4 linked regions of the Lytechinus pictus genome follow. The protein of the gene in region 4 purifies or fractionates together with the protein of the main gene of each other region. This does not show direct contact. Links are inferred from orthologs where the notes say so. Each region holds a gene or a part of one and is shown on either strand. Other genes may lie near its edges.

Region 1 (7,776 bases), on a different chromosome or scaffold from region 4:
TACACAATATAATTTCAGTATAAGTTCAGTATCTCAAATTCTGTCATTCAGAAATAATGTTACATGTAGTACAGTAAGAGCATTCAATATGTACATTTTACAAAAATATATGGCTTGCAGTTGCAAGCTCAGAAGATTCTGCTCTTGTTGAGATTTACATCATGTTCAGACATACAACAAATTAGTAGACCTTGAAGTCTACCTAAAGCCAGTCATTTCAATGTCCATAAACACATGAAGAAACAGATTTCTATATTTTTTTCCTGTTTCCTCTAGTGGATAAATGTTAGATTTGGGGCACAATATCTGGTATAATAAGCATTTTTTGTGAGGCCATCTATTGGAGAAAAATACAGAAATCGATTGCACAAATTTTTTCTTTCTACAAATATAAATAAGGAAAACCAATCAGCCTTGTGCATAGGACTTGGCACATGATAAATAAATGTAACTAGGAACCGAGTCAAATGACTGGGTTCCTAAATTTAGTATTTATCAATCAACCATTAGATCAGAGCAGATCTAGACAAAAACTGTCAGAACCCATTGATTTTAGCTATTTATTGGGAAGACAAAGTTATAATACAACCTGGTGTACCATTTGTTGTTTCTTCGGACAGCTAGGGTTTCTAATGGTGGCATTAATTAAGTTCATAACCTTAATTCAGCCCCATGGTAGTTTTATAACTGTCCAAATCCAGCATATGTGCAACTGAAATGTGGGCACCAATTAATATTGGCACTTTTGAAATCAATATTTTACTTCTAAGCAGCAACAAGTAAAAAACAATTAAAAAAAAATCTACATGCTTTGAACTTTTCAACCTCTGAGTGAATGAAAGACTCTAGAACGGGAAGACAGAACACTTCACTGACTTCGCGTAACACTTTAGACCACTCATACGATTGCGAGGTTAGTATGCTATACTAACCTCGCACACCGAACCGTGTTTGGGTCTGGATTTTGAAGAAGTCGACAAACATCGCTTCATTACACTACAGAAATAAAATTTGCCGAAACACCTTTTTACTACTCACCGGAACTCTTCAGGAGGCAGGGTAGCTCAGTCGGTTAGAGCGCCTGTTCCGGATAAGATCGTAGATCTCAACGTGCGTGGGTTCGAGTCCCGCAGCATGCCGGAAGACGTTTAACAAAAAAAATCTTATGCTAGCATTGTATGTTAGCGTGCCTCACCGCTGTGTTCAGTGAGGGTGTGAATGCAGTTGGAAAACACTCCGTCCATCGGAAAGGACGCAAATGTTGGTCCCGTGTATAGGAGAGTCACAACCTATGCACGTTAAAACCAATACAAAAAAAAGAGCAAAATCGCTTACCTCGGCCTGGAAAGTGGCTTTGCATTCTAATGTACATCCTCTTTCACAGAATAAAAGGAAGCTCGATGGTGGTGCTAATGATATTCACAACCTTAATTCAGCTCGTTTTATAACTGTGTCTAAATTCATTGCATGCGCAAGGCTACAGGCTAATTGTTTGATAAAATATGGACACCAATAAATGTAATACCTTCAAAAACATACTTTTAGATTATTATTGCTAACACTTTTTGGAAATCATTTAAAGTGACAACAAATTAGTGCTGTTATCGATAACCTAGATCTAGTCCTGTCGATAAGCGCATGTTTTTGCCACTTAGCGATATATCAGTAACCTGTCTCACGTTGTCCCAAGTCTCCAATATGGGAGAGAGTCTCCCAATACTTTAGACTATAAAGTGGCCGTGCGCCTCTAACATTACACCGTCTAAACTCATTTCGTCTGCAACCAGTTCGGCTAATATCCAATTTGTCTAATTCCCACTTGGTCTAATATCCAATTCGTCTAATTTCCATTTTGGCTAATAACCAGTTGGGCTAATTCTCATTTGGTCAAATATACAATTCGTCTGATGACCACTTGGTCTAATAGCCAAATGGTCTAATCCATTTGGTCTAATGACCACTTGGTCTAATCACCAATTGGTCTAATGCCCAGTTGGGCTTATCGGCACTTGGTCTAATTCACACTTGGTCTAATGTCCATTTATTATACAAGGCATTCATAGAGCCACACATAACTTATGGAATCGAGGTGTGGGGGAGTACTTACAAGAGTAGCTTAAATTGTATATTTTACACCCAAAAAATGGCAGTACGTGCCATCACATTCAGTGAGTGGCGAGCTCATACACGTGTATTATTTCAGAATTTAAAGATCCTAAATGTATTTGAAATGCACAATTTATCTATATGTACCTTCATGTATGACCTGGGTAATAATAACTTACCTCACTCTTTAGTAGATTATTGCGATGTAATAGAGCATAGATACCCAACAAGACAAAAAGAAGGTCGACAAGTACATTTACCAAAATTACGGACTACTCAAGGACAATTCTCTCTATCTTTCTTAGGAAGTGATTACTGGAATAATGTACCATTAGCCATCAAACTAAAAGTATCCAGAAACGATTTCAGGAATTCATTACAAAATCATTTATTAAATCAATAACTTATCATATTGCTCTGTATATAACATAAATGTTACACTCATAATTTTATTATTTTTTTTTTTTTTGTAGTTGTTGTTTTTGTTGTTTTTTTTAAAAAAAACATACTTTAAAGTTCAATATTCGCCTATATTACTAATATGTATAGGGGCCAGGCTCGATTAGCACTTGTGCTATTTTCTGGTCCCTTTTATCAGCTCTTAACATATACATGTATGTTTCATTTCTGTAATATTTATATGCATGACATAATAATGTAATATGTAAACATCTGTAAATATGTTGTTATCGTTGGTGAATAAAATCAAATCAAATCAAATCAAATCAAATCAAATAATTCATTATCATTTATTTGATTTTAGAATTAACAAATATTGTAAGTAATGGATACATATCATGGATCAGTTAATACATGACGCCAGGATCCGGAGGACGGGCCGGAGGGGTAGAGCTGGGGTAGGGCTGCTGGGCGCAAAACCTCGACGTGAAAGTCTATCGATGACGAGATAGTTGCTCATCAAATGAATTATTCTAATCAAATATAATTCTTATAATTAGGCCTACCGGTATATATCGATAATATAGATGATGATGAAAACTATATCATACTCATCATTACATCATTGCATGCACATCATTACATCATTGCATGCACATTTAAAGAACAATAAGTTGGGGACCTTGTAGCTTATAATGATCGAATGGCAGGGTTTTATCAGAATAACATTATGAAGAAAGGAACGAATTACTATAATTGTGTGGATACGTATCTGGTAAACATGTTTATGCCTCTTTTAAATCATTGTTACAAGTATGCACCATATGTTATGGACAATACTTGAAGTTGATGTAAAATAAGCAATAGTTATCCAGCTTGGGTATTCCAAAAGTTACAAAGCCATTAGATCATGTATTGTTATGAATATTTTGTTTAGTTATTTCAATAGTGAGTTTGGAGGCATATAACAGACCAGTTTGATAACACTATACAGGTTTATTGGGTTAGCTGCGACAACATCACATCGACCATCTTGGTGGCAGCCATGACTCATTCTGACGTGTAATAACATAGTATAGCCTACGCTTGCCGATCTTTATCAGTTATCACCACAGTAGTCATTAATCTTATATAATCTTCTAATTCTGTTTTTTTAACTACTTCTTCGCCTCCTCCTTAAAATGGATTGGCAGGGTTCCCAGCCCATCAGGGATATCAAGGAAATAAGGGATTTCTTTTTTATTATTCCAGTCAGGGAAAAATCAGGGAATTACCTCAAATCAGGGGAAAATGCCTTAAATGAGGGCAAAATCAGGGGATCTTGATCGGCCCAAAAGTCGAAAGCACGATAGCCAGTCAGACACTGTTATATTTTGTTGTATATTAAAACAACATTCATTGAATGACATTTTATGGTGTTTTTTTTTTTAGTGTAGCCTCTTTTACTACAGTACAAGTAGGCCTCATGGTACATAATTAAACATAAAAGTAGGCCTACATGTATATAAAAAAATAATAATACAAGTAATCCACTGCAACAACTTAAAAAACATGAGAAACTGGGAATAGGTTTAAATAATAATCAGGGAATTTTTAAACTTCATCATAGAAAAATCAGGGATTTTTGTTTTGAAAAATTGGGAACCCTGATTGGGTTAAGCCAAGAAGATTCTATGACTAGAGTTCCAACAGGCAACAAATTTATTCAAGCAGCTGTTCATTTCTAAAGAAGCACAAAAGAAAGAACGGCAATAAGGACCTTTTTGATGTCCGCCTTCGAAGCCGCCAGTTTCAATGAAGAAATCCGAGGGGTGAAATTTTACGAATATTCATTTGTATCAACTTTTCATGTTTCATATTAATAAACAAACTGAAGTTTGAATGCATGACAAAACATCAATAACCAAGCACTATTACGACGAGATATTTGCCCATATTATATCAATTAACCTTTAATTAGTGAAAAAAGAAACAATTTGACCTTTACTGAAACCAGATTTTAACACTTTTCCAATCGTTTGCGGCGAATGGAAATTTCAAATGTGGTCAGTGGAATATTGTTATTCATTACTGTATATGCCAGATGAGTGCCCGCACATGCCCAGTCGAGCAAATTTGAGTCATATTTCAGGACATATTGCATAGTTTATTTTCGCATGCCTCCGAATTATGTACTACACATATAACCAGACCAAGATGCGGCGAAAAGTAATTATCATCACAAAAGCATATTGCCCTTTATGTATGACCTATAGCTGCGGAGGCATGCGGGAATCATTTGTCTACACAATTGCAAGAGATGTTGAGCAAAGTGCATGCCTGACATACTTTCTGCTGGCGGTTCTTTTCCTTGTTCAAAGAGATTTTATTTGCTGTTACTCCACCTCATTTGAAACCTCCTTGGTTAAGCAAGCCATTAACTATCTACAGTAGATTGTATAGGCCTACATAGATGTGGATGTATATTTAAAAATCTTACTTTTTCACCTCTATGATCGTTTATCAGCGTTATTTGACAGAAAATTGCAAATTTTATTGTTTTTCACTATAACCTTCAAAAGTCCCCTTAAATAGACAAAATATCCCTAAAATTTGTTTAATCCCCAAATATTTTTTTTCTTCCCCAAAGGCTTTTGAAAATCCAGAAATTTTCAAAATTTGAGGATGGAAATATATCGTACGTTACTCTAACCATAGAGCTATTAACAGAAGGAGATCTGACTCTCTCAAACGCTTTGCCCCATGCGCGGCACCGCTAATCCCCTCTCAGCAGGGTCCCTCACGGCGCATTATACACAGGCCGCTCGTAACTCAGATAAGGAAAGTTGATCGACGCGGTCGACAGCTCGGGTTTGCGCTTGCGCAGTAGCGTTTTCACCCATAATGCATTTCACATCGGTTTCACGAATTTTATGCAAACATGGCGGCTCACGATTTCGAAGACGAAAATCTGGTTTTGGAACCAGCTGAATGCAGGGTGACCAGATTTCACAAAAAGAAATACGGGACAATCGACAAAGTACGCTGCATGAGCGGATCGACCGAGCCAGGTCTTTAAAAATAAAGATCAACAAAGGAGGCTACACGGTGTTCGAACAAAAAGAATGGGGTGAACAAAAGAATGAAGGATGGAATGAAAAGGCGAAAGAAAAGAGTTGAATTGAGAACGGAAAGAAATAAAAAATGAAGGGGAAAATGAAGGAAAATATATTTTAAAAAAGGAATTTTAGAATAAAATGATGAAAGATAGAATAAAAGAAAAAAACGTTTCCGTCATTCTTTGAAATGAATTAAGAAGGAAAGAAAAAGAAAAGAAGGAAGGGAAGATGTATGAAAGAAAACATAAGGGAGAGAAAAGAAAAAAAGAAGCAAGAAAAAAGGAGGAGGAAAGAAAGAACGAATAAAAGAAAAATGTTTCCTTCATTCTTTGAAAGAAAGAAATAAAGAAGAAAAACAGAAAGGAAGGGAGGGAGGGAAAGAAAGAAAAAAGGACACAAAGTAGAAGGAAAAAATAAAATAAAGAATAAAAGAAAGGATGAAAGAGAGGGAGGAAAAAATAAAGGGAGGAGAGAATAAATATAGATAAAATAATGGAAGGAGAGAAAGAACCAATAGAAAAGGGAGAAGGAAGCAAAGAAAAGTTTAAGGAAAGAAAAAATGAAGGGAAAAAAGGAAATTTAAAAAAGGAAGGAGAAAGAAGGAAAGAAAGAAAAATGAACAGAGAGAAGATCAGGAAAGAAAGATAGGGAATAAAGATAGATGGAATAAAAAAAGGGCAAAGAGGAAGGATAGAATGATGAAGAAAAAAGGATATGAAAGAAAGAAAGAAAAAAGTTCAATCTTAAAACAAACAAAAAATCCCATAATCTAACAAAAATCATGATATTTCGTGTTTCTAAATATATTTAGAATATAAATAGAATGTTTTAGAAATGAGGGGGGGTTGGGTATCCGGACACTTTATATTTTGGAAGCCTTCTTTTTTTTCTTTAGATTAAACTAAAAATATTAATTCAATAGTTGTACCGGTAATCATCTTTTATTTTGTTCTCTATAATATTTTTTAAATCATAATTATTTTTTGTACTAAAAATTGTAAAATTTCGCTTGTAAATTTTTCCAAATGACTTTGTAACTTAAAATGAATCATCCTGACATAGAACTGGGTATACTTCTTTGTGGTCCCAAACATGTTATTTTTAAGTTCTTTATTATGTAGAATAACAATTTTTTGTACTTTATTCTCCTTTTTACTGGTTTGTAAATTAAATTAATTCGCTCCGCGGCCCCTGCTATTTTCCAAAAACGATCCAGAGACAAGAGCTGAGCGAGCACAGAGCTCCCGTCATTCATTACACTCACTTTCAACTTACACAAATAGGAGTACGGTACGTGGGGCACCAGAGGGTACTCCACGATGCGACAATCGCCAGAGAAATGCCCCGCAGACTCGTCGTTATATTATCAAGACCATTGTAAACACGCAAATGATTTTTGCATAAAAATAAAGCTCAAAGTATGCTTTTTCACCTTATTATAATTTCTAAAACATGTACGGGAAGGGAAAGATTTAACTACGTAAGAAAGACAGACATACCTAAAATGACCAATCTGCAACTTCCTCCGTTTGTAATTTTGTTGAGTCAAATCAGATTGTGACGTATTTGGTATGTGTGCAAACAGTCAGAGCGCCACGCGTATGCTAATGAGCACGATCGCTGAAATTTATTCAGAATCCCATCCGCCCGAAAATCATCTAGCGGGACTCTCGTAGATCGCGAGATATCACGAGAGTCATGCAGGTCTCGTTCTAATGACGTCATACTCTTCACTGGAAAAGCCAAGATGGAAGAATGCAACCGTAAGTAAATCTTGAAATCTTTAGCTTTATTTTGATATGAAATATGTGGTAATCCGAAAAAAATTGAACCTGAAATAATGCTTTAGATCTAGGCAATATTTTAGCCGGATCGGAGATCGAATTTTTCATTAGAATGTTGTTTTTTACGTCCTGACCCTCCTCAGAATTTTTGGCTTTCGTGAAGCCTCCGATGTTGTAGAATGTATTTCAGTGATGAACATGTGTAAATATCTCTGGGACGCAAAATCTCCTTCGTACTCGTATTTTACTATGAAACTACCTCAAATTTTCCATTTTGTCAACTGCACTGACGCTGATTCTTCTTTTGTACTTGTTTATTTTATTGAGTGATGACGTCAGCCATGGTCTCGCGCGGAGTAACCAACTGGTGGGTCAGTCCCATTAGTGTA
Region 2 (7,962 bases), on a different chromosome or scaffold from region 4:
GCCCATAACATTGTGAGATCAGTATACTGTGATACACTGTACACAGGCCTGACTGTAAGTCAAAATTCCTACCTGTTGAAGCATTCCATTTCAGTTGAGTTGGTTGGCCACCTTCCGACTACACTTGCATTGGCCCATATCCTTGGGGTAGAGTCTAGCAGCCATTTGAATTGTTTGTTTATCTGTAATTGTCAACAATAAACGTTTTAAAATTAATTGTGTCAGTTACCATATTTTGCACTTATTTTTAGAGCAAGAATGAAAAAAAAAACTGATTGGCAGATTATCATACAAAATACTTTAAAACACTAAAATGATTCACTGTTAAGAATCTGTGGTCTGATTGGTGAGACTGCATTATTCTAATTAATAATGGGTCCAACAGATCATAAGTATTAAATTATACAAAATCATAATGTTTAAATAGCGTATTTGGATTGCCTGCTCAAGCCAAAAGTCACAAGTAACTTTTCCAGTATTTTTATGACACTCGAACCTGATCACATAGAAATACATTTGTATTTGTATTTAAAAAAAGGTACCAGTATTTTTCACCCTCTCCCATGTCCCAAGTACATGACAAGAAAACAGAAGAGAAAAGAAGGCAGTTTTCTTTCAAAGAGATTGGAAAATAAACAATCTGAAAATCAGATAATCCTAATCGATACTTACTCTATACATATTCTGGAGATCACACATTGGTAAGAATTTCAGTAGATAAATGAGGAGTTCATCTGGGAGATCGATGAGCATGGTTTTTGGCAGCTTACTGTTGCTCCTGAGAACCCGTACATGGAGACTGGTTGACCTTGATGATGATGGTGACTGTTTTGCCATTTCAGATGATGACCTTGCAGGCAAGGTACATGTACGGCTACAAGTATCTACAAATTACATTAAAAAAGAAGAAGATTATTCATGTGCTATAAAACAGCTACAATGCATGGATTTGATTATGAAATCAATAAATTCTAGTACAGATTACTCATCACGATAAGTCAATACATCATTATACATGTACTTATAAAGAGTAATGCCGTTGTATGGAAAAGGGGTCTCTCAACAAGGAAATCTTTGCCCAAGAAATAAGTTCTTTATTCAACTCAAGCTCTCACTGAATATCCACTACCTACAGTACATCCAAGTCCCAGACCTAGTCCTGCCTGCTGACCAAAGCAGTTGTTATGTCCAGGCGGGTGAAAATCCTGACAATGTCAGTGACAAGACAGTAATTTCAAGAATTTGACATGGAATGTTGGTCACTGATTCATTGGAAAATGTGAAGACTCATGGAGGTACATGTAATCGCCCCTAATATATTTCACTAGAATAATTTGAAATTAAAAAAAAGATTACCGGTACTTGACTTATCTTCTACTCCATAAACATGACCCATCGCTTGGCGACAGCACGCTAATGCGCGGTTTGCCTGCTGTCGCCAAGCGAAAGACAATGAAATCAAGATGGCGACGTAAACACGGTGGCAACTTTTCCCCGTCTTTTCATAACATTTTTCTCGTTTTTAGAATGAATTCTTGTTTAAAAATGAAATCAATATCGTAGAAATATTGGAAATGAAATTGAATCCCATATACATGATTTAATTAGGGCTAGATCTTTTAAAAGTAGAAATCTCGGGGGCGAAAGTTTGAGGTTTTTTGGCGGTACGTGCAGATGAATGCAATCAAATCCCTGGCTCTGTGTAGAGTAAACATGTACGTTAGTAAATGATTTTTACTCTCTAGACTAGGAGCCTCCTGGCTACCTGGTCCTGGGGATAAAAAACCTCAACTTCACTTCACACAGCTACAGTCCTTCAAATAAATACCTCGAAACGAGTCGAAAGGTGTCATTCAGTGACATTCACCAGAGTAAATTGCACATGCACTGAAGCGACATCACACCTAGACAATACTACTAGATGATACCTGCTATTGCTAATGAAGCGATGTCTGGATTACCCCTTTCTGAGATTCTGAGATCAACACCATCAGATTCTGAATTCAAATTTGTCTTTGTCATTAAGTCAGATCTTGTCTTAAGAATAAGATAAATCGCCTTTGCTTTGCCCTTGGGCTTGGCTAGCTTTGGGTCCCCCATCATAAATCGTTTCTTTACTTAGTAGGGAGGGGTGTGCATGTTGCCACGTCAGGCAACACAAACAACGAAACCAAAAAAAAAATGAGCCTGGACGGCTGTCAGCGGATATGGATGGACGACCGCAACACTAGCCTACGAATTAACGGTCAACGGCTCAACGCTCAGCCAGAAGCTTCGGCGTGCCCTCCCACCAACGACTGCATCAAGAGGCTTTCAATTTAAAATAAGAGTTTTGACTATAAAAGTTAGAATATTTCAACAAATCTTGAAATAAAACATTCAACTTCAAATCATATATAAAAAAAGAATGTGTGTTTATCTTACCCCTCATCTTTTAGAAGACAAAGTACTGCACTCAGGAAAAGAAAAGGACTATAAGTATAATTTGTACGAATATTTACACATATCGCATCAGGCACAGTTGAGCGGATGCATCATTCATTCATTCAAGTTTAGCGCGTTGGCTTGCATTGAAAATACACATGCCAGCCGTTTGTGTTTACGTCCGTTATGAGCGTCGTAGCTCATGATTGGCTGAAAGATTTTGCGCTCGGTTAGAAGTATCCGCCCACTAATGAGGTCAACGGAAACGAATGACCTTTCACATTTACGACTACGTGACGTCATCGTATATGTTTTCGTGCTAAGCTAGCTAGCTACGTTGATTTCTGCTACGTCGAAATCGAGAAAGAATCGAAATAATACTTGTACAAGTAAATGTTATTCCATTAATTGATGCAATCGTGAGAAGCAAGATTTGTGACAATCGAGATGGGAGGGACAGACTCCAAGCTGAATTTTAGGAAAGCAGTCGTACAGTTGACAACAAAAACACAGGTAAACGAGAATCGGCCAATACAAAAATTACAACAACACTCGAGCTCGACATGCATGCACTTCACTGCACATGTTAATCATGGACAACTCACGAGCTCACAGCTGGTAGAGAGCTACTACTAGTACTAGTAATAATACCCAGTTGTTGTGTGTCCGGACGATCAATTTTAGAAAGTCTTTTGGAAAAATTTACAAGCGAAGTTTCATCAATTTTTAGTAGAAAATGTTAGGAAATATTAGAGAGAACAAAATCGAAGATGATTATAATAATTAATAATAATATAACTTATTTTTAACTATTGAATTCATATTTTTAGTGTAATCCAAAGACAAAAAAAGAAGGCTTCAAAAATATAATAAAGTGTCCGGACACCCGACCCCCCATCCTACTTGTACTATGAAAAAAGTGCTACGCCGCGCCACGTCGAAGCGTATTAAATATTGCACATCTGACGGAGGTCTAACTTAGTAACTTAGAATTAAATTGTTAAAGATATTTAAGGTTGGATGTCATTCATTAAAACATTATGAAGCGAAACTCAGCTCAGAATGAAGGGGGAGGGGGATGTCTGTGAGTGTCACTGTGCACTAAATAACATTTAACTTTTTTTAAATAAATGTAATTTTAAACATGAATTTCTTTTCATTCCAGAATTTAATTCAAAATGTGGTTGATTAATGACTTAGTTAGGCCTAAGGTTAGATCTAATGTTAGATCTAAGTTAACGTTGCATGTCATTAAATGTTCCTTGGCCTTAAGCAAGGTTAAGTTAATTTACTAGATCACGTTGACTGCCAAAAATTGTAATCCTGGGGTGGTATTTATGTAACTTTTCTTGTAATGGGGTGGTATTCATGTAAATTTTCTTGTAATGTAACTCAGCACATTAACAGTTCGCAAAAATTATCTTTAATCTGTATTCTGAAAATTATCTTAAAAACTCATCTCTTTAAGGACGTGTCCCCTATTTCATCTCCGACACGCGCAATATCTCATCATCAAGTCAACCAATAAATCATGTTGTTTTATGCTTGGGTTCAACCAATAGAAGCGTCTCTTCTGTAAAAACTCTTAAGTTTAGGCTAGCCCATTATTGACATGATGAGGGCTGAGGCGTAATTTCCCTTATGCCTCTGACGCTTGTGCTTGTGCGCTACTGTGCTAAGATACATTTACTTACTTATTTGGATTTACTTGGAAGTTGGATGTAGAGACGTAAACTTGTAGCTTATTTGCCCCTCGTCACTTTAGATAGTCTGGTTACATGTGGTTGTTCTCCCAGGCATATTTACTTTGAAAAGATTCATCATCTCGAATGAGATCTTTAAATTGCTGCAAAGTCTGCCAATCGGTCTCTGTAATATCTTCAGAATGTTTCATTTTGGAAAACAAGATGTTCTTGTGTGATGCAGCAAAAAAAAAATTGTTGACTGAGAAATATGGCATGCAGCATTGAGTTACAAAAGCCCCAGGCTACCTCTCGAAATTTTATTGTATTTTCCAAGGAAGTTAACAGAAAGCAAAGATAAAAGAATTTTCAGAATACCTTTTATCTCGATATCTTATCTTGTGCACAGAGATATATATGCGCCGTTCTTAGTTTTATGCATCATTATACTAGCTCTGACATCATGTACCCTAATAAAGGAAATGTGTTGTCTGAGGCTTATATGGAATATCATGATCGTGCAGCCCTTCAAAGAATCCATTCTCATTTTTTTTAATGTGAAAATCGTAGCATGCTTATTAATAATGTAAATTACAATTTTTTTGTAAAAAAAATTAAATCATGATTATGAATTTTTCTCTAGTCCTCCATGTTTGCTTTGTTCCTATTATATGACAGCCTGTCGAGGCAGGAGATGATGCCTTCTGGGACCAGTTTTGGGCCGACAGCGTTACCAGCGTGACCGATGTCTTTGCACTCATCCCAGCTGCTGAGATAAGAGCACTCAGAGAGGAATCACCATCTAATCTGGCCACTCTCTGCTACAAGGTATATCTCTGAGCTTAGTCTCTGAACAAATAGGGGAGAGTGTTGATTAAGGCCTCGGGGTAAATAAGGCCCCCACTTAGTTTTTAGCTCACTGCTTAAATTTACCAGTGTCGAAGGGATCGGTGTTTGTGTGGTATTTGAGACAGTTCCTTTAATAGCACATATCACAAGCATAAACAATATATCATGGCCCAATGCACATGGCCAGGAGGAGTACAAACCTATCAGAAAGTCAAAAATCAGCATTTAGAAAGTAGCATCATGACTTTATATAGGCGAGTACTGTATCCACCGAGTAGTGTGATTAATCTCTATATTAGTTTACTTTTGTAAGGAATTATTGTGCAAATGAGTACTGTTTTAATATTTACCGCTTTCCCTCTTTTTTTTTTACTGGAAGCCTATGAACTTAACATACCCAATGGGGCAAATGAGGCCCCCGGATTAAACCATAATTAACACTGTATGGTTACATCTGATAAAACAGTAAACCGCAGTGTAGACATTTCCACACTTGCTTTAATATGTACACCAAAAGTTTTCATTTTCAATAGAATGTCGAAACATATAACTTTGACAGTTGAAAACACAATCCGACAATCATTTGATTGATAATATTGGATAAGATTAATAAAGAAATTCTAAATAGGGGCCTTGTGATTGTATTAAACCAACGGAACTATTTTCACTTTGAATATAGCGACACAAAACAAAGAACAATAAATGTATCAAGTTCTAGACAAGCGATGAGATGACCAGAGGTTCCTGTATAAAATACCCTGAAGAACAACACTGAATTAGTGATTATATTGTTAGTAACTACATGTATGTCTGGGTAAAATGGAAATTAATATGAGGTTCTCTACTCACCAGTTCATTTGTAATGCTACCCATCAGATAATACCAGTTATTTTGCCAATGTGAAGCAAATTACTTGTAATATCTCTGAAAGAAAATATCTTTGGAGGAACTTGTTAAAATTACAAGACCTTTCTTAGGAATTCTCCAAGGTGTAGAGTTCTTTTGCAGTGTAAAAGCAAATGATAAGTTCTTCAAATGTGAGACAAGATAGGCCTACAGGCTTAGTTATATGTACTTTGTATAGGAATGCAATAGACTTGCTTGCTCATAACGAATTGGAACATTATCTGAAAGTTCAGTTGGGTGTGAACAAGTTTATTAGGTATTCTTAGGCCTGTATAAAAGTGCATAAATACAGGACTGATCAAGTTGGTTTGGAAGCACTGAATCATTTTTCATTGATTTTCCATTTCTATTGTAGGCTGTCGAGAAGCTAGTATCAGCTGCAGAGTCTGGATGCTCCGCCCCTAGAGACCAGCAGGTGGTACTCAATGCAGCCCGCCTCCTCACCCGCATCCTGCCGTATATCTTTGAGGATCCTGATTGGAGGGGATTCTTCTGGTCTACCTTGCCTGGCCAATCAGTGAGTTTTTTTTCATATCGAGCTGTGCCTAATCAACTTTCTGGTACAGGAAGCTGACCAGCAATTAGGTTCAAGATATTTGATTGATTCTTATTATTCCAAATGGGCAATTTACAGAGTGTCAGATGTATTGCTAAGAAACGAATGCTGTGGGATTTCTAGAAGGCCTTTGTAAAAAAAATATGTCAACTAAAGAGGTGCATGGCATGTTTCCTTTATTATTCTTCCCTCTAAAGGAAAAAAAACTGCTTTCTTTATTACATGTCAATGATGTCAAATGAAAATTCTGTCTCCTTGCAAATCTCATGAAGCAATGGCATGGTACTATAAAAAACATGCTGCATGTACTATTGCAAAAAAAAACGAAATCCAATTATAAGAAAATATGAAATCAGTGACAATTCAGATTAAATCGCTTGAAACTGCAACTTCCAAGCATGCCAATTGATACATTTTTTAATTTCATATGAAGAAAACATGAATGTTTTGCTTTCCTTTTTGTAAAACGGCAACCTTTAGTATTCTAATGACAATCATGCTTAAGTCAGAAATGTACAGTGTACATCTTATTTCATTTTGATATTCTATATCTTTTCTTTTGTGTGACTATATTGGTTTCATTTTGGATGGACTTCCTAATATTGAAATGTAAATATTATCCCATCTTCTTCCTTCAAAATGTGAAAGTATACTTTGCTTCATCTTACATACATGTATCTTATTAAATTTGACTCCACTCTGGTATGTAAGCATGGCATTTTTTCAATATGCTAAGAATGGTTTCATTGACTTTAATCTTAATACTATCTTCTTTTGTTTTCTTCATGGTACTTTTTTTTCTTTCTGGTGATTAGGCAAACATGGATGGGGTGGATGACTTTGTAAGTTTGCTGTGTGCTCTTTCCCTTCCTCTACTAACTTGTAGGTTTGCTTCAGACAATTTCATGTAGGCCCAAATTCACAAAGGTGGTTTTTGAAACCATCTGTTGAACCCATGACTTATGCAGATTTTCTGTATGAATTACAATTATTTACCGCGTATGTTAAAATTTGTCCTTTGCTGATGCATGCTTTTGTCACAGTGCACCAAAACGCCGCCTGTTCTCATGATTAATTACGCTATTTTATTCATGAGTCCACTGTTTGAAGAGTGGACTTATTGATTCAAAACAGTGGACTTCTGAATGAAATAGTATGCTAAACCATGGCAACATGCATCAATTTGGCGCACTGTGACAAAAGCGTGCATCAGCATTGGACATTTTTTAATATACGTAGTAAATATAAAGCATAATTTATACAGGAAATCTGCATAAACCACAGGTTCAACCGATGGTTTTAAAAATCACCTTTGTGAATTTGGGCCTAATAGTCTGCACAGGGCCTGTTTTTCCCTCATGATCTATCCCAAGTGCTTAAATTTTGCTCACAATATACTGTTCACATGCTTTACTTAGTGTCTTACATTGAAAGTCAGATTGGATTTCTCCCCCTTCTTTTCCTTTCTTTGCTTTTAGGAATTCGTTTTGTATTGTTTATTTCAAAGGGATAATTCATTACCCACCATAGTGGATGAGAGAAAAA
Region 3 (7,352 bases), on a different chromosome or scaffold from region 4:
CTCGGAGAAAAGTAGGTAATTTGACGCAAGTAACCGGACTTTGCAAGCTCAGCGCATAGATTTTGGTTATAAATTATCAAAAGTAGGATATAAAACAAATATATCAGGCGTTTCATTCGAAAGCATAGAAATATATAGGCCTAGTGAGTAGTGGGAATTATTAATACTCGGTTGGACTGGCGCGCGCTGGCAAAACTATAGTACAGTTACGTATTGTATTACCGGACACTATTATGATTCCGGACGCGCATAGTACTGCGTACGAAAACAATTTTGTACCGTAAGACTTCCGCAATTCAATTTCACAGAGCAATTCATAGAACAAGATTGCTAAAACAAGGCGAAAAAATCCAATTTTTACCTTATTTATCTCTAAAATGACAGAAAATGATTTAAATATCATATAACGTAGTTTTGCATTAACAATTGATATATTTTCTGATGGAAAAATGGGCCTGATTTTGCCGAATTTCAGTCCCGTCCTCTCCTTCGATCGAATGATGAAGTGTGGTGTATTGTGGTTAATCGCCGACGGCTAGACTCGAGGTATACCGTGCCCGAGGTTTACCGTGACTATAGCCGTCGACCATCGATCGACAGCGCATCAAACCTGATGAGCGTTACGATACGAACGAGCATAGTATTGGAAAGTGCCATGGGCATGGAACATGCAGCTGAGAAGTCAAAATAAAATTTATCAAACACAAATTTATTACCAACATCTGCTCAGATTTGATGTGAAAAAAAACAAAACATAAGCTTAGAATTTATGCATGATATGATATATGAAGAAAAATTCACACAAATTCTTTCTTACATCATTATAATGAAGAATATCTTTACCCGTCCGGCGCGCGTCCGGAATCATGATGTAATTTGTCACGCGCGAAAATAACTTTTTCGTGGAGGGGTATGCGACAATTGCGATGCAAAGAAAACGGTTGGTAAATATGAAATAATTTTATCATATTCATAATTTTCATAATATTTGGAATAGCAAGTGCAAATATTTCTTGATTGTATTTCCTCTAGTTTTTCATTTTTAAAGCACTGAAATAAAGGTGTCCGGTAATAGGATACACTGCCATACTAATTACTATTTCCTTCGGGGCTTCGCCCCTCGGGAAAAATAGTATTTAGTAGTTGTCAGACCAACCTCGGATAAATAATTCCACTATACTTTCTCAAAGCCTGATATACCGGTATTTGTTTAATATCTTCACCCGTCCGACGCGCGTCTGGAATCATAATTTGTCGCGCACGAAAATAATTGTTTTTCGTGGAGAGCCGAGGGGTACCGCTATTAGAAAATTTAGGGTGTCTGGAGAAAAAAATTATTTTTCTTATTTCAAGAAAATATCACATTTTCTTTGTGAATTTGAAGAGAAATGACCTTCAGACTGACAGAAATGTAACATTTTTGAAAAAAATCCAATTATTGGCTGCAAAAAAGAAGAATGAAATTAGGTAAATTTTCAGCATTTCTCTGCCATAGACTGTGTAGTTAAGAAATGGACACACACAAATCCAAATTTTTAGCTTCCGAGAGCTGTTAATTATAAATTTATTATTAATGCCAAAAACCTGTCCATAATTAGAGTCCAATAAATGAATAGGATTTTTTATGCTCTATCTGATGGTATGATTTTTATAAAGATTTGGAAACCAGATCACAATGAAAAATTGCGACAAAGTGAAAAAAATTGTGCAAAACAGAAATTTCATTTTCCCATAGAAAACGCATGGAGAAATGGCAATCTCAACACACACAAAAATAAGGGGTTGCAATTTACCTCTAAGTCTAAGTCTAGTACCGTATGGGTACTAGTATTCAACCCGGCATAATTCAAAGATTTTGACATATTCCCCAAAATATTTAGAAATAGGGAATTTATCTTAATTTCATACCTTTGTTATGTCCAGGGTAATCTGTTGTCGGTATTTTCTTTATCAATCTGTCGACTGTATGCGCGGAGGATCGAATTATGCGGCGATGGCCTTTTGCACTGAATGGTACTAGTATTCAACCTAGTGAGGATTGATAGCAAATCTCAAAAGGGTTTAGATTGCTAAATTAGATCTAGATCTATGTAAGTCTCTGGCTTTGATTAATTCCCTGTTTGGTCTCATCTCAAATGGTCTAGTCCATAGTCGGATGGGACAAGGGCAGATTGAGAGACAGGGCCATCTTTCATCGCTAGGTTGAATACTAGTGCCGACGGGTTGAATACTAGTACTAAAATCCGTCGCCGTATAATTCGATCGCCCGCGCACACAGTCAACTGGTTGAAGAAAAAAATAACGGAAAAAGAATAACCAGCATTTGCTCTTGGAAATAAGACGGGTCTGAAATTCAGGTAAATTCTATATTTCTATATATTTGAGGAAACTCTCCAAACGGGTTGAATACTAGTACCCTTACGGTAAATGATCCTTTATTCCTTATTTAAAATGATCATATATATAAACTTGTCCTTACTGTCAAAAGAAGCCCCTGAATTTTCTCTTTCCATACATGCCAAACACAAGTTAATAATCAATTCAGATCACATTTTTCTAGTAGCCTGAACTTCCCCGAAAAAATGTGCCATATTTTCCCCTAAATCAGCCTGTTTTATGCTGACACTTTTCAGTGTGGCTTCAGACACCCTACCGATATACCGTAGGCTGCTTGTCCCTTGTGCGGCCAGTCAGTGCGATGCCGATGGCAAGAAAATGGTTGGTGAACACGTCAGACAGACACAAGAAGTGAATAAGATTAAAAGTAATGAAGAAGTGAAGAAAGCTGAGAGTAATGAAAGATCATAACACAAATGAAAACAATAACAAGGTTTAATAAATCATTAAATATCACCTCTGATTTCTCTTTGAAAGTGTGAAAATACGTCGGTCTTGCGAGGTTAATTATGCCGTGAATTACAGGGCAGTTACCAAAATTTGTAGAACGCGCGCTGGCTGGATCTGCATATCTGGAGCTAGCTGGAGCTTGCAAATATTTTCGGGGCATAGGCGCCTGCCCATAGGGTCTATCAGATTTTTATAAGTCTTTCTAAGAAAAAAAAAAATAGAAATAATACTATCTGAAATAAAACTGTGAAAAATATTCATTATTTTTTTCAAAAATTACTTTCATGGATATGGCTAAACCAAGTTAAAAATAATAATAATAATCATCATCTACAAGATAACCCCTATAATTAAAATGGAATCGTCTAAATGAAATAACTTCTCTTCTTGTTGTTATGTTGGGAGTGGCGATTAGTCATCCGTATTTATATAATATGGTATCTTGTAAGGTTACCATCTGAAATGAAAACTTAGGCCCTAAATTGGAACTACAACAAAGCAAGGGAGTTTCATGAAGGACTTGTATCCGACAAGTCCTGTTTTACAGGGGCGTAACAGGGGTTGGTGGCCGGGGAGGGGGGGGGGGGGGGGGGGCAAGAGCCAAAAATTTCCCGGTCATATCATGGAACAGGCAATGGCGTCATGAGGCAAAAATTTTGAGGGGGTGGTATGGTGTATCGTACAAAGAAATATAAATGCGAGCGAGCAAAAATTTTGATAATTTTATTGCAAAAATCAAATTTTGTGATAGATTTTGACATAATATCATATTTCATCCTTCTCTCTTTCCTTTTAAGTCCCGAGAGAGCGAAGCGAGCGAGATAAAAAAAAAAAACCTTTTCATATGAGAATCTAACATGAAAGATTTGGACGTGATATATTAAAAAAAGTATATAATACAGTTTTCCTTTGGCTTGCATGCTTTTCTTTCTTTCCTCTTTTTTTTTTGGGGGGGTGGTTAGTTGTAGAACTTTGGGGGCCATGGTCCAATTTATCCATAAAACAGTGCGCCCCAGAACCTCTTGATATAAAAGCCATTTTAAACCTTACAGATGGCCACTAATTTTAATCAAATTGCGTTTATATTCATATAGCTTTCACACAAGGGCACACAACACATAAATCCAGTGCGGTTATGTACCGTAATAATCCAAATATTTTGAGGGGGCACACATAGCAAATGGCCTTTTGAAATGAAATTGTAATTGTGATAGATTTTTACATCATAACAAATATCATGTCATATACATATTTTTTTTCATTCATCTCATTTCGCTGCCTCCTTTATTTTCTTTTATATTCCCTTGGCTGTGGTACCCCCCCCCCCCCGGGTACGCCAGTGCTTCAACATAAAGCTTAATGCAGGAAGGGTCCATATAGGGGCCCGTTATAGAGCCCTTTAAAGGCAGTGGCGTAACAGGCGGGGGGGCAGGGGGGGCAAGCTGCCCCCCCTGGCGGAGCTCACCGGGAAAATTAAAAAAAAAGGGAAAAAGAAAAAAAAGGGGGGGGGAAGAAAGGGAAAGGGAAAGGAAAGAAAAAAGGGGAAAGGGGAAGGGGAAAAGAAAACTAAGAAAATACATAAAAAAAGGGAAAACGGAAAGATAACGGGAAAAGGAAGGAAAAAAGAACAAGTGAGAAAGAAAAATTCGCCCCGATATACAAATACATTAGCATGATTAGTAAGACAGGGAAATAAATTGAAGATGACAAAAAGGCAAACAAAAGCGGGAAATAAAGGCAGAATGGAATTAGCCAAAATCTAAATTGGAAAATAAAGAATAGGGACAAGATAACGTACACTACCGGGCTGCCGAGGATTGAGATAACGAGCGGGAAGAAAAATGGATGGTATATAGCATAATGTCGTATGAAAGTCTATCATAAACTTGCTAAATCTCCAATCTCCCGTGCAGTGGGGGCTCTTCATCTGTAACCTTTAATGGGTTCTATAACGGGCCCCTATATGGACCCTTCCTGCATTAAGCTTTACATTGAATGACTGGCGTACCGGGGGTGGTTCCTCAGCCAAGGGGAAATAAAAGAAAATAAAGGAGGCAGCGAAATGAGATGAATGAAAAAAAAAATATATGACATGATATTTGCTATAATGATGTAAAAATCTATCACATAATTAGAATTTCATTTTAACAGGCCATTTTTTTTTCTGGCTCGCTTCGCTCGCTGGCGACTTTTTACAAATTTTCCCACATTTGCTTTGGTGTGCCCTTCACAATATTTGGATGATTACGATACACAACTGCATTGAATTTATGTGTTGTGTTACAGCTATATAAATATACACGCAATTTGATTAAAATAAGTGGCCATCTGTAACGGGTTTAAAATGGATTTGATATCAAGAGGTTCCGGGGCTCTGCCCTGGACCCCACCCATAAAGCACTGTTATATGGATGAGTTTGGACCAAGGCCCCCAAAAGTTCTACAACCAAACAAAAAATAAGGAAAGAAAGGAAAGTGTATTATATTTTTCTGAATATCACGTTAAAATCTATCTTTATGTTAGATTCTCATGAAAAGGTGATTTTTTTTATCTCGCTCGCTTCGCTCGCTCGGGACCTATATTAAGCTACTTCTTGCCAGAAGCGCGCCATACTCGAGCATATAGAGCTTCGCCCTGATGCTCACAATCATAACAAAAATCCTGTTCACCGTGGCGTACAAAAAAAGAGAGAAAAAAGGAAAGAGAGGAGGGTGAATATGATATTATCTTTTTAACATTATGTCAAAATCTATCACAAAATTTGATTTTTACATGGGCTCTTGGATAGAGCCCCCGGTAGCTTTGGAGATCTAGCAAGTAATAACAGACTTTCATACGACATTATCCATCTTTCTTCCCGCTCGTTATCTTCAATCCTCGGCAGCCCGGCAGTGTTAATGTCTTGTTCCTTTTCTTTATTTTCCAATTTATATTTTGACTCATTCCATTCTACCTTCATTTTCAGCTGTTGTTTGCCTTTTTGTCATCTTTAATTTATTTCCGTCTTGCTAATCATGCTATTGTATTTATTTGTGTATCGAGGAGCAGTGGCGTAACTACGGGGGGGGGCATGGGGGGCACGTGCCCCCCCCCCCCAATCGGCTGGCCAAAAAAAAAACGGGGGAAAAGAGAAAAAGAGGGAGAAAGGGAGAGAAACATACTGGGGAAAGAATAAATTATTGCTAATTATAATGTTATATCATATTATAATTATGTTATGTTATATTACATTAAAAAATCATAAATTTATGAAACATAGGCCTAATTTGCGCAGGGCCTAGGCTATGTCTTCATTGTTCCTGGTCCTCGCATTGTCTGTTTAACAAGATATATAATCCTGTTGTACTAAAACCTCCCGTTTTCAAGTCAATATACACAAAATATATTTCCTCGCACTTCAAATTATTATTGTTTTATGTATTGACATATGCTTCTTTTTCATGACTACTTAAAGGACAAGTCCACCCCAACAAAAAGTAGATTTGAAAAAAAGGAGAAAAATCCAACAAGCAAAACACTGAAAATTTCATCAAAATCGGATGCAAAATAAGAAAGTTATGGCATTTTAAAGTTTCGCTTAATTTCACAAAACAGTTATATGCACATCCTGGTCGGTATGCAAATTGGCAGACTGATGACGTCACCCACTCACTATTTCTTTTGTATTTTATTATATTGAATATGAAATATTCTAAATTTCTCCTCCTTTTCAAGTGAAACAAAGTTTTATTTCTCCCTGAACATGTAGAATTGTCATTATTTTAACAGTTTATGGTTAAGTTAAGTTGGTCCTTTTTGTCAAATTTGTAAATATTGAAATATTGTATTATTCAAACAATAAAAAACAAAAGAAATAGTGAGTGATGGACATCATCGACTCTCTCATTTGCATATCGCTGAGTTGTGCATTTAACTGTTTTGTGAAAAATAAGCGAAACTTAAAAATGTCATAACTTTCTTGTTTTACATCTGATTTCGATGAAATTTTCAGCGTTATGTTTGTTTGATTTTTCTCTATCGATTCAAATCAACAATTTTCTGGGGTGGACTTGACCTTTAATTAAAGTGATTGCCCCATTTTAAGGTCTTAATATAAACCATTTCCTGTCCGTGCTTACGTTTGCATTCGTGGATTGGTGAGATATGTATGTTCTTCATGAATTCCTAAAATCAGACCTTAAAATGTCCCTTTTTCTGATCTGAATATTAAAAAATTTCATCTTGCGCTTCGCGCTCGCATCATTTGGTTAGTAAAATAAGCATGGTTTTCGTGAATTCCTACAAGCAGGCCTTAGAATGCCCCTCTTCAGGTCTAAATTTCCTAAATTTTCAGCTCGCGCTTCGCGCTCTTAATATTTGACTAGTGATCGAGATGCATATGATGATCATGATTATAATGACTACAAAAAGTGCTTCATGTGTTTAGATGTATATTATTCAAACAAAGTCAGCAAGCGCTTAGCACTCGCATTAGATGACTATGGTGAGATATGTATACTCTTAT
Region 4 (7,471 bases):
CCCCCCCCAATCTGAAAAATTGACAGACGCCCCTGGCCCTGAGGGGAAAAGACTGAGGGATGGAGAAGAAAAAAGGTTGGAGCTAGCTCCATTATGGTTAAGATTAAAAAAAAAAAAACATGAAAGGAGCCCAAAATGAGACTTACAAATTAATCACTTATTTTCTCTTTTATTTCATTAAATGAAATATAATATTCTCCTCATTATGTGTTCAGAGTTTTATTTTTACCTGAACATGTGGAATTACCAATGTTTTTACACTTTATTCGGTCATCTTGGTTCTTGATGTCAAATATGTATGCAATATAATTCAAACAATTAAAAAACAAGAAATGTTGAATAAAAGGCCATGCACAATATTTTCTCATTTTACATCCGATTTGATGAATTTTTTTGCGTTATACTGGTTTAATATTTCTCTGATTCAATTTTTTTTCCACATGTGCTATCACATTTTTGGTTATCGCGTAGGGTCGGGCAATTGCGAAACCCGACCATTCGAAAAAAAAGAGCCCCCTAGATTTCCGAAACGTCAGGTCCAGTTTTACCCGATGTTTTGTGAAAATTATAGCAAAATTCTCCCAGTCAGCCCCCCCCCCCTAGAACCGCGCCTGCCTTTTCAGTTCTGAATATCAAAAACAAAAATTCCAGCTCGTGCTTCGCACTCGCAGTATTTGACTAGTGAGCCTAGCCTACTTCTTTTTATTATGATTAGCCTATACAATGTTTAAAATTTTCCTGTTTTGGTCTCAATCTGAAAATTTTCAGCTCTCGCTTCGCGCTCACATTATTGTTTTAGATATAGGCCTATATCTTCTTCACATTCCTACAGTGCGAACAGTGTTACTTTTCTGATCAATATTAAAGAAATCAACTCGCGCTTCGCACTCGATTATTTATTTAGTGAGATAAGTGACATGATTACAAAAGACCTACTCAGAATTTGTAGACCTACTATTTTTAGGTCTGAAAATTCAATAAAAATGTCAGTCCCACTGAACACATGTCCTTAATCAATGTTTCTTTCATGTTAGTGTCAATCAGCGCATGATGGCTATAGTGAGCGCGCTCGACTGAGCGACTCAAATGATTTTTTTTTCGTGCCCCCTCCCCTCCCCGCCAAAACAACAGAGGAATTGTTATTCCAATCAGTAACACAATGATCCGAAAATTTTGAGAGGGCAATCGATGCCGTATGAGACATTTTTCCTTTAAAAATATATGGAAATCTAACTTTGTGATAGATTTTATAACACAAAAGTCATGTTTCCCCCTCCTTACTTTTCCTTTGCTTTCTTTTTTCTCTCCCCCCCCCCATATTTGCTGTACGCCAGAGATTCCGAAGGTTCTTATAATGAAAAAAAATATAAGATATAAGATTCTTCCTATATTAGGCTTCGTTATACAGAAAATAAAAATCGGATTTGTTATTCCGAAGGTTAAGGCCAAGTCCACCCCAGAAAAATTTTGATTTGAATAAATAGAGAAAAATCAAAATAGTATTCACTGAAAATTTCATCAAAATCGGATGTAAAATAAGAAAGTTATGACATTTTAAAGTTTCGCTTATTTTTCAAAAAGTAGTTATATGTACAATTTAGTTACATGCAAAGGAGAGAATCGATGATGTCCCTCATTCACTATTTCTTTTGTTTTTTATTGTTTGAATAATACAATATTTCATTTTTTTTCAAATTTGACAAGAAGGACCAACTTGACTGAACCATAAAATGTGACAGGTATTGCGAGGCGGACATGTTTGTTATTATCGGGGTTATTATACGAATGTTCAATGATAACTTAAGGTTTGCTATATCGTTATGAATACTGTATTGACCAGTCAGACTGCATGTCCCAAGAAAGTGGCTTGTTTCATCCAAGTGATATTCATGACTTGAGATGTTTTGCATATTTAATGAGCTTGATGCGGACCAAAACACCTCTTTTCATTCGGTCATTGCTGCTCTAATTGTGCATCGAATTTCATGAATTTGGTACCATTGTAAAGAAAAAGAATCATTCTTTCAGGTCATGTGTTTGGATTTATTCAAAGATTTTGTAATATAGGTTAAAATTTTGATCTAAAATATGCTACAAAATAAATATTTTCACCTGACAAAAGCTGCTATTTTCACACTTTATTTTTGTTTGAGCCCAAATGATTTTTATATCATGATAAAGCTGAATATGTATGCTTTGAAATGATATAGGTTTCAAAATAAGAATTGGTTTAATCGGGTCAAGATCACACTTTTCATTTGCCAAGTACATAAAGCAGCTTGAAAACAAGAATACTGCACTCTGATTGGTCAAAAAGACCACACAATGGCAAATTCCAACGGTTCCAGTGCCTGGGTTCGTGGGAAGGTCACACTTCCCATGTGGTAATCTCCTCAAATACCCCGCGCCTGTTGTTCTGTGAACCTTATCCAGCCAATCAGAACTCTGGATTTCATGCAAGTACAAAATTTCAGAAATCTCGTCTTGTACCTTGGTGGGAAAAGTGTGATCTTGACCCGATTAAAAGGTGCCGCATATCAAGAGTGGCATTGTGAGAAAGTACAGAAGTTTAGCTTCATGGTGATATAGATATCATTGAGGCTCAAAATAAAAAGTTTTGCACAATTTGCAAAAGAAAACAGAGCAAGAAAATTCAGTTTTGAGGCACATTTTCAGGCCAGAAATTTACTTATTTAACAAAATATTGTATACAAAATAAATGACCAATATGAAGGAGTAACTTTTACTCTATCTGATGGTGCAATAATATTTCATTTAACTTGAGGTTAAAACAGGTATATTCTTAGAGAAATAAAATCTCACGAATCACGAGATTTTGCAAGGAGGAGGATTCAGCCACGAGATGATTTGGATGAATCTGGCCTTTTTGCTCATTAGCATATAGGGACCTGCGGTCTGACTGAAGATAAAGTTCGTTACTATTTTGAAAGAGCGATGTCACAAATGAAAAGGGGTTTGTTATTCCAAAGGTTCGATAGTACGAAAATAAAAATAGAATTATTGTTATCATTTTAAAACATGTTCTTGTATCGTTTTCGATAAAACAGAGTTCATGGTGCCACAATATTACGGGGCAGGGCGGGATATGTCCCGGTGAATAAACATTAGAAAAGAGAGGGGCGGGGAGAAAAAAAGGGAAAAGAGTATGGACTGAGAAGAAAAATAATAACAGGGCATGAGCCTACTGAAAATATACGTTATATAATTGTCGTGACTTCATTTTGTTGAAATTGAATTGAGGTACATTTTAAAGATTGAGGTTGCTTAAGAAGTTTTTTTAATTTATCTGTATCAATTATTGTTTAAGGGTGACGTCATAATATGTTATAACCCTTATGTCATCTTACCCGGCTATATCCCGGCCCCTATCAAATATGCTGGCAACGCCTACTTATTTTCCTTGAATTGTGTTGTCATAATCATCATCATGCATGTCATGTTATGTTTGTTTCTTGACTAATGCCCATTCTTTGTGGGGGTTTTACTTCTAAAAAGGACGAAATATATGTCAAGTCATGATTAAAATTACTATAAATACTTTTAAGAGGATAATTATATTCAATTTCTGTACATCGATTGCGTTCAAATTCCAACAGTTTTTTTTACCTATTCATTAAAAAAAAATATCTTGCTTTACTTTGTTTTGAAAATCTGGTTTGAGTGAGAAAAGGTAATTAAGAAACAGAAAATGTTGTCATTATTGCGCCTTTCCCGCGACCATGAAAAGTATAGGCCTAATGAACAAGCACGACAATCATCTCCTTTTTGATAGGCCTATAATTTATCACAAAAAATAATATATATTTACCGCAAAGATAAAGTTCAGTTATTTTCATGAAACCTGTATTCATCCCATAAAACGATTCTACCTATCGATATAAGAGAGTCAAGTGAAATATGAGTTATATTTTTTAATCAAATTAGCCTGTAGTTTCGATCATCAGTAAGCTTAGGAGTTAGGTTGTCTGTTTCATTAATTTTAATGTTTTAGGCAATGAAACTTATTTCTTTGCAATATTCTCTTAATAGTCTTGCTTAGTCTTGGCCTCTGTTGCATAAATCTGGAGGAATAATATGTGAGTCAGCGATATTGAAAGCAGATTATGAAACGTTCCAGAACGGAATCTTTGGGGTCGTGTGAAAAAGGGAATAACAGAAAACACTGCACATAGTCTGCAAGTACAGACATCTCCTTTTAGACTTTTCGCACACTGCCCAGTAGTGCACATTGTAGGGTCTGAAATAGTGGGTCTAGATTGACTCAAATATTGTGGCGGATTTTAAAACTTTATTTTAATTGATACAGACAGAGAGTGTTTATTCTAGTAGTCTTGACCTGGTTTAATTTGTTTAAGTGTCAAAGTATAGTCTGTGTTTGCAGACTAAGCAACGTTCGACGAGACAAGTATCGATGACGTTATGTTCTATTTTAAGAAACGATGTAAACAAACATTGAGCTGTCTTTCGCTCGCTCGGACGAACAAATCGATCGTTCCGTTTTGGAAACGTAATGTCTACGTTCAATTTCGCTGAGTAAGTCCGGATTCGAGTGTTCCAGAAACGTCTTGCATTCGGGTATATAAAGGCAGCCACTCCCAGTCGACATCCATACTGCGATTCGGTAGAATCTCCGCAAGAGGCAACTGAGTGTCAACGTCTGCGTCCGACGTCAAAACCATCGATAGTTAATCAGAAACTACTAAGAGTAAGAATTCTACGCCGGCCCGGTAGATAGAGATATTAGACCACTTGTTAATTTCACTTTTGATCAGCCATATACAAAAGGGTAAATTGTTATTCTCTTTCTAATTCTACTTTTATTTAGGATCTATTTCATTAGACTCGATCGGGACAGTCTCTCTGTAGTGTAGGGTCCATGTTATACATAGACATGAGCCGAGATCGAAATTATACCCCAGTTAATATACCCCCGATGAGGCATGAATGTAGTATTTACTATTGCCCTGCTCATGAAATAATTAGTAGATATTCACTGCTCTTTAAGGACGTTCCACAGTTATGTTTGTGCGCATTATGATTTGCGCATAGTTTACACTCTGCGCGCTGACGTCACAATGGATGAACAGGTGATTAATTAGCTGCGGGTATGTGCTGATTTTTCTCATCTTCTGCACTTTAACTGCAGATCCGATGCGTTATTTCATGAAGCTAAAAAATGGAATTATTCCATGGACCATTCAAAAAAAGATTCTCTACAATTTCAAAATACTTTACTCTGCAATGCTGCCAAGAATCACAAATATTACCCCGAGTTTGAATAAATGGTAGAGTGGTTTTGATTTTTTCTTCACATAGATACAAAGCATTCGGCGCATTTTTGGTGTTTTACAAAGCACATTTGCTCTAATAAAAATACTGATAGTTTAAAAACAAGCACATGACCCCTATTTTTGAATGTTTGTTCCTCTTAGGTATACCTTCCTCTACAACTCTACAAATTTTGGTGAAAATGACATGGATTTTGAATAAAGTGCAGCATTTATTGTACTTTTGTAGTTTGTTACTGAAATTTCACATTTTTTAGATTGGGATTTTGTTGTCTTTTACGCCATTTTTAAGAACTGACAGTGCTGTTAAACATAAAATTGCAAACAAATAGCACTATAAATATATTCTCCATTATCTAACGATACAATTATTAACTCTCTTGCGAAATTTGATGACTTTTTCATGTATTTTGACTGAGTATACAGGTTTAAACTCATTGTAGTAATCTTGGGCGGTCTAAAAATGCCAAATTCTTTTGAATGCGCAATTCTTAAGAACATCAATTTGGGTGAACTTTGAAGTTCTATAGCAAAAAATCAAGCACATGGACCTATGTTAATTTTTGCATATTTCGAATATTAAGGTTCTAAAGTATCTATGTGCAAAGTTTGGTGAAAATGACATGGATTTCACTTTAACTGTGGAACGTCCTTAATTGCCTTTCTCTCGTTTTTAATTGTTATAACATTGCCTGGAAGAACAATCTTTGTTTGTTGAAATATATGGAGATACAGGTGTGAGAGCTCAACAGTGGCATAGGAATTAAAAATGGCAAGCAGAAAAGGTTGAAAAGAAACTGGATATATATATTGTACAATAAACAGAGTTTCTGTTTATGGTAACTCCCGCAGGAACTCGGCAGGACAGCGTTTTGCTGGTAAACGCCAAGCTGGTATATAACCAATTATCTAGGAAACATTTTACGTCTAGGTTAATCAGTCATAGTGGCTAGGACTTTATATAGACGTCAGATATTAATCTCGGGCCTTATTTCAAAGGGGAGACAATGGCAGCTAGAGTATAGGGATTCGAACTCACAACCTTGCGATTATGAGTCCAATGCTCTAACCACTGGACCACACGACCCGTTAACAGAGGGGTATAGGTAAAATGTGAAATATAGTAAGCCACCAAAGCCATGTCCTGGGATTCCTTATTGATTGCATGGCCTCAATTACCCTACCCCCCCCCAGCATTGGATTAAGATATTTTTTGTGACTTAAAAAAATCCATTTGTGATTAATATGGTATTAATATATGCCATGTAGATCGAAGTATAGTGGCCTTGCCTTAATTTTGAGTCCTGAAACAGATGATAATTATTATACAATAACCGTTCTCATTTTCAGATTCAACGCAACATGTCTATGACAGTGAAAGCATACCTGAAGCGGGGAGAGAACGCAAATGCAGAGATCCGTCGCTTTGTGATTGACGTTGCTGTGAGTTCAAACTATGAATACCTTTCCAAGAAGGTAGCTCAAGTATTTCCGTCTCTGGGTGAACCCGACAATTTCACTCTCTCCTGGAAAGGTAATTTTTTTTTCTTTTATTCATAAACATTATGAAGTTATAAATCAATTCCACTGGTCCATTCATTTTTCCAATTCACTGAAAGAAATAATACAGAAAATAAAGAAGTTAAATATAAATGATAATAAAGTTCTATTAAATAAATATTTTTATAATACACTATATGATCAGACAAATGGGTGGTCATGGTCCCCCATCTATTTTTTTTTCTTGCTTTTTAACTTTACTTAAATTTGTTATAATGTGATAGTTTGACATTACAAACACTATAAATGTATATGTGTTGGGGACTACATCAGTGATTCCCATTCTCTTATTTTGACAAAAATTGTTTGATTATGTTTTTTTTTTCTCCATAATTATAGATTCTGAAGGAGACAACATCACTTTCTCCAGCGATGATGAGTTGGTAGAAGCCTTGGGTCAGATAAATGATGACATCTTCCGGATCTATGTCAAAGGTCAGTTTGTCCTTGTTATCAACAGTAGACTGTTATCATGAGTATTTTCAGTAATGACATGATTAATATTATCATCATCGTTCTTCGTATCATAAATATTAATATAATTTCTGTTAGAAAAATGAAAATAATTTGATAATATGAAAATGATTTATATTATCAAATTA

The links.
Region 1: the proteins of sequestosome-1-like (region 4) and histone deacetylase 6-like purify together in Homo sapiens (affinity purification with western blotting; 6 studies listed by BioGRID). This does not show direct contact. The link is inferred for Lytechinus pictus from reciprocal best matches to the Homo sapiens genes SQSTM1 and HDAC6.
Region 2: the proteins of sequestosome-1-like (region 4) and cyclin-F-like purify together in Homo sapiens (affinity purification with western blotting; 3 studies listed by BioGRID). This does not show direct contact. The link is inferred for Lytechinus pictus from reciprocal best matches to the Homo sapiens genes SQSTM1 and CCNF.
Region 3: the proteins of sequestosome-1-like (region 4) and DNA repair protein RAD51 homolog A purify together in Homo sapiens (affinity purification with western blotting; 3 studies listed by BioGRID). This does not show direct contact. The link is inferred for Lytechinus pictus from reciprocal best matches to the Homo sapiens genes SQSTM1 and RAD51.

The regions. Positions count from the first base shown.
Region 1 is NC_087247.1:75,156,890-75,164,665, forward strand, and holds the start of histone deacetylase 6-like, read right to left. Parts: upstream 3,005-7,776; 5' UTR 1-3,004.
Region 2 is NC_087254.1:27,030,126-27,038,087, forward strand, and holds the start of cyclin-F-like, read right to left. Parts: upstream 3,012-7,962; 5' UTR 2,938-3,011; coding exon of another isoform or gene 2,872-2,937; 5' UTR 2,432-2,871; coding exon 2,425-2,431; intron 885-2,424; coding exon 673-884; intron 183-672; coding exon 73-182; intron 1-72. Other genes in the region: protein HID1-like, read left to right, coding at 2,872-2,937, 4,785-4,934, 6,217-6,378, 7,233-7,259. UniProt on the Homo sapiens protein: Substrate recognition component of a SCF (SKP1-CUL1-F-box protein) E3 ubiquitin-protein ligase complex which mediates the ubiquitination and subsequent proteasomal degradation of target proteins.
Region 3 is NC_087251.1:40,097,201-40,104,552, reverse strand, and holds the start of DNA repair protein RAD51 homolog A, read right to left. Parts: upstream 3,014-7,352; 5' UTR 3,008-3,013; coding exon 2,855-3,007; intron 1-2,854.
Region 4 is NC_087249.1:39,146,992-39,154,462, reverse strand, and holds the start of sequestosome-1-like, read left to right. Parts: upstream 1-4,452; 5' UTR 4,453-4,807; intron 4,808-6,659; 5' UTR 6,660-6,671; coding exon 6,672-6,843; intron 6,844-7,208; coding exon 7,209-7,304; intron 7,305-7,471. UniProt on the Homo sapiens protein: Molecular adapter required for selective macroautophagy (aggrephagy) by acting as a bridge between polyubiquitinated proteins and autophagosomes.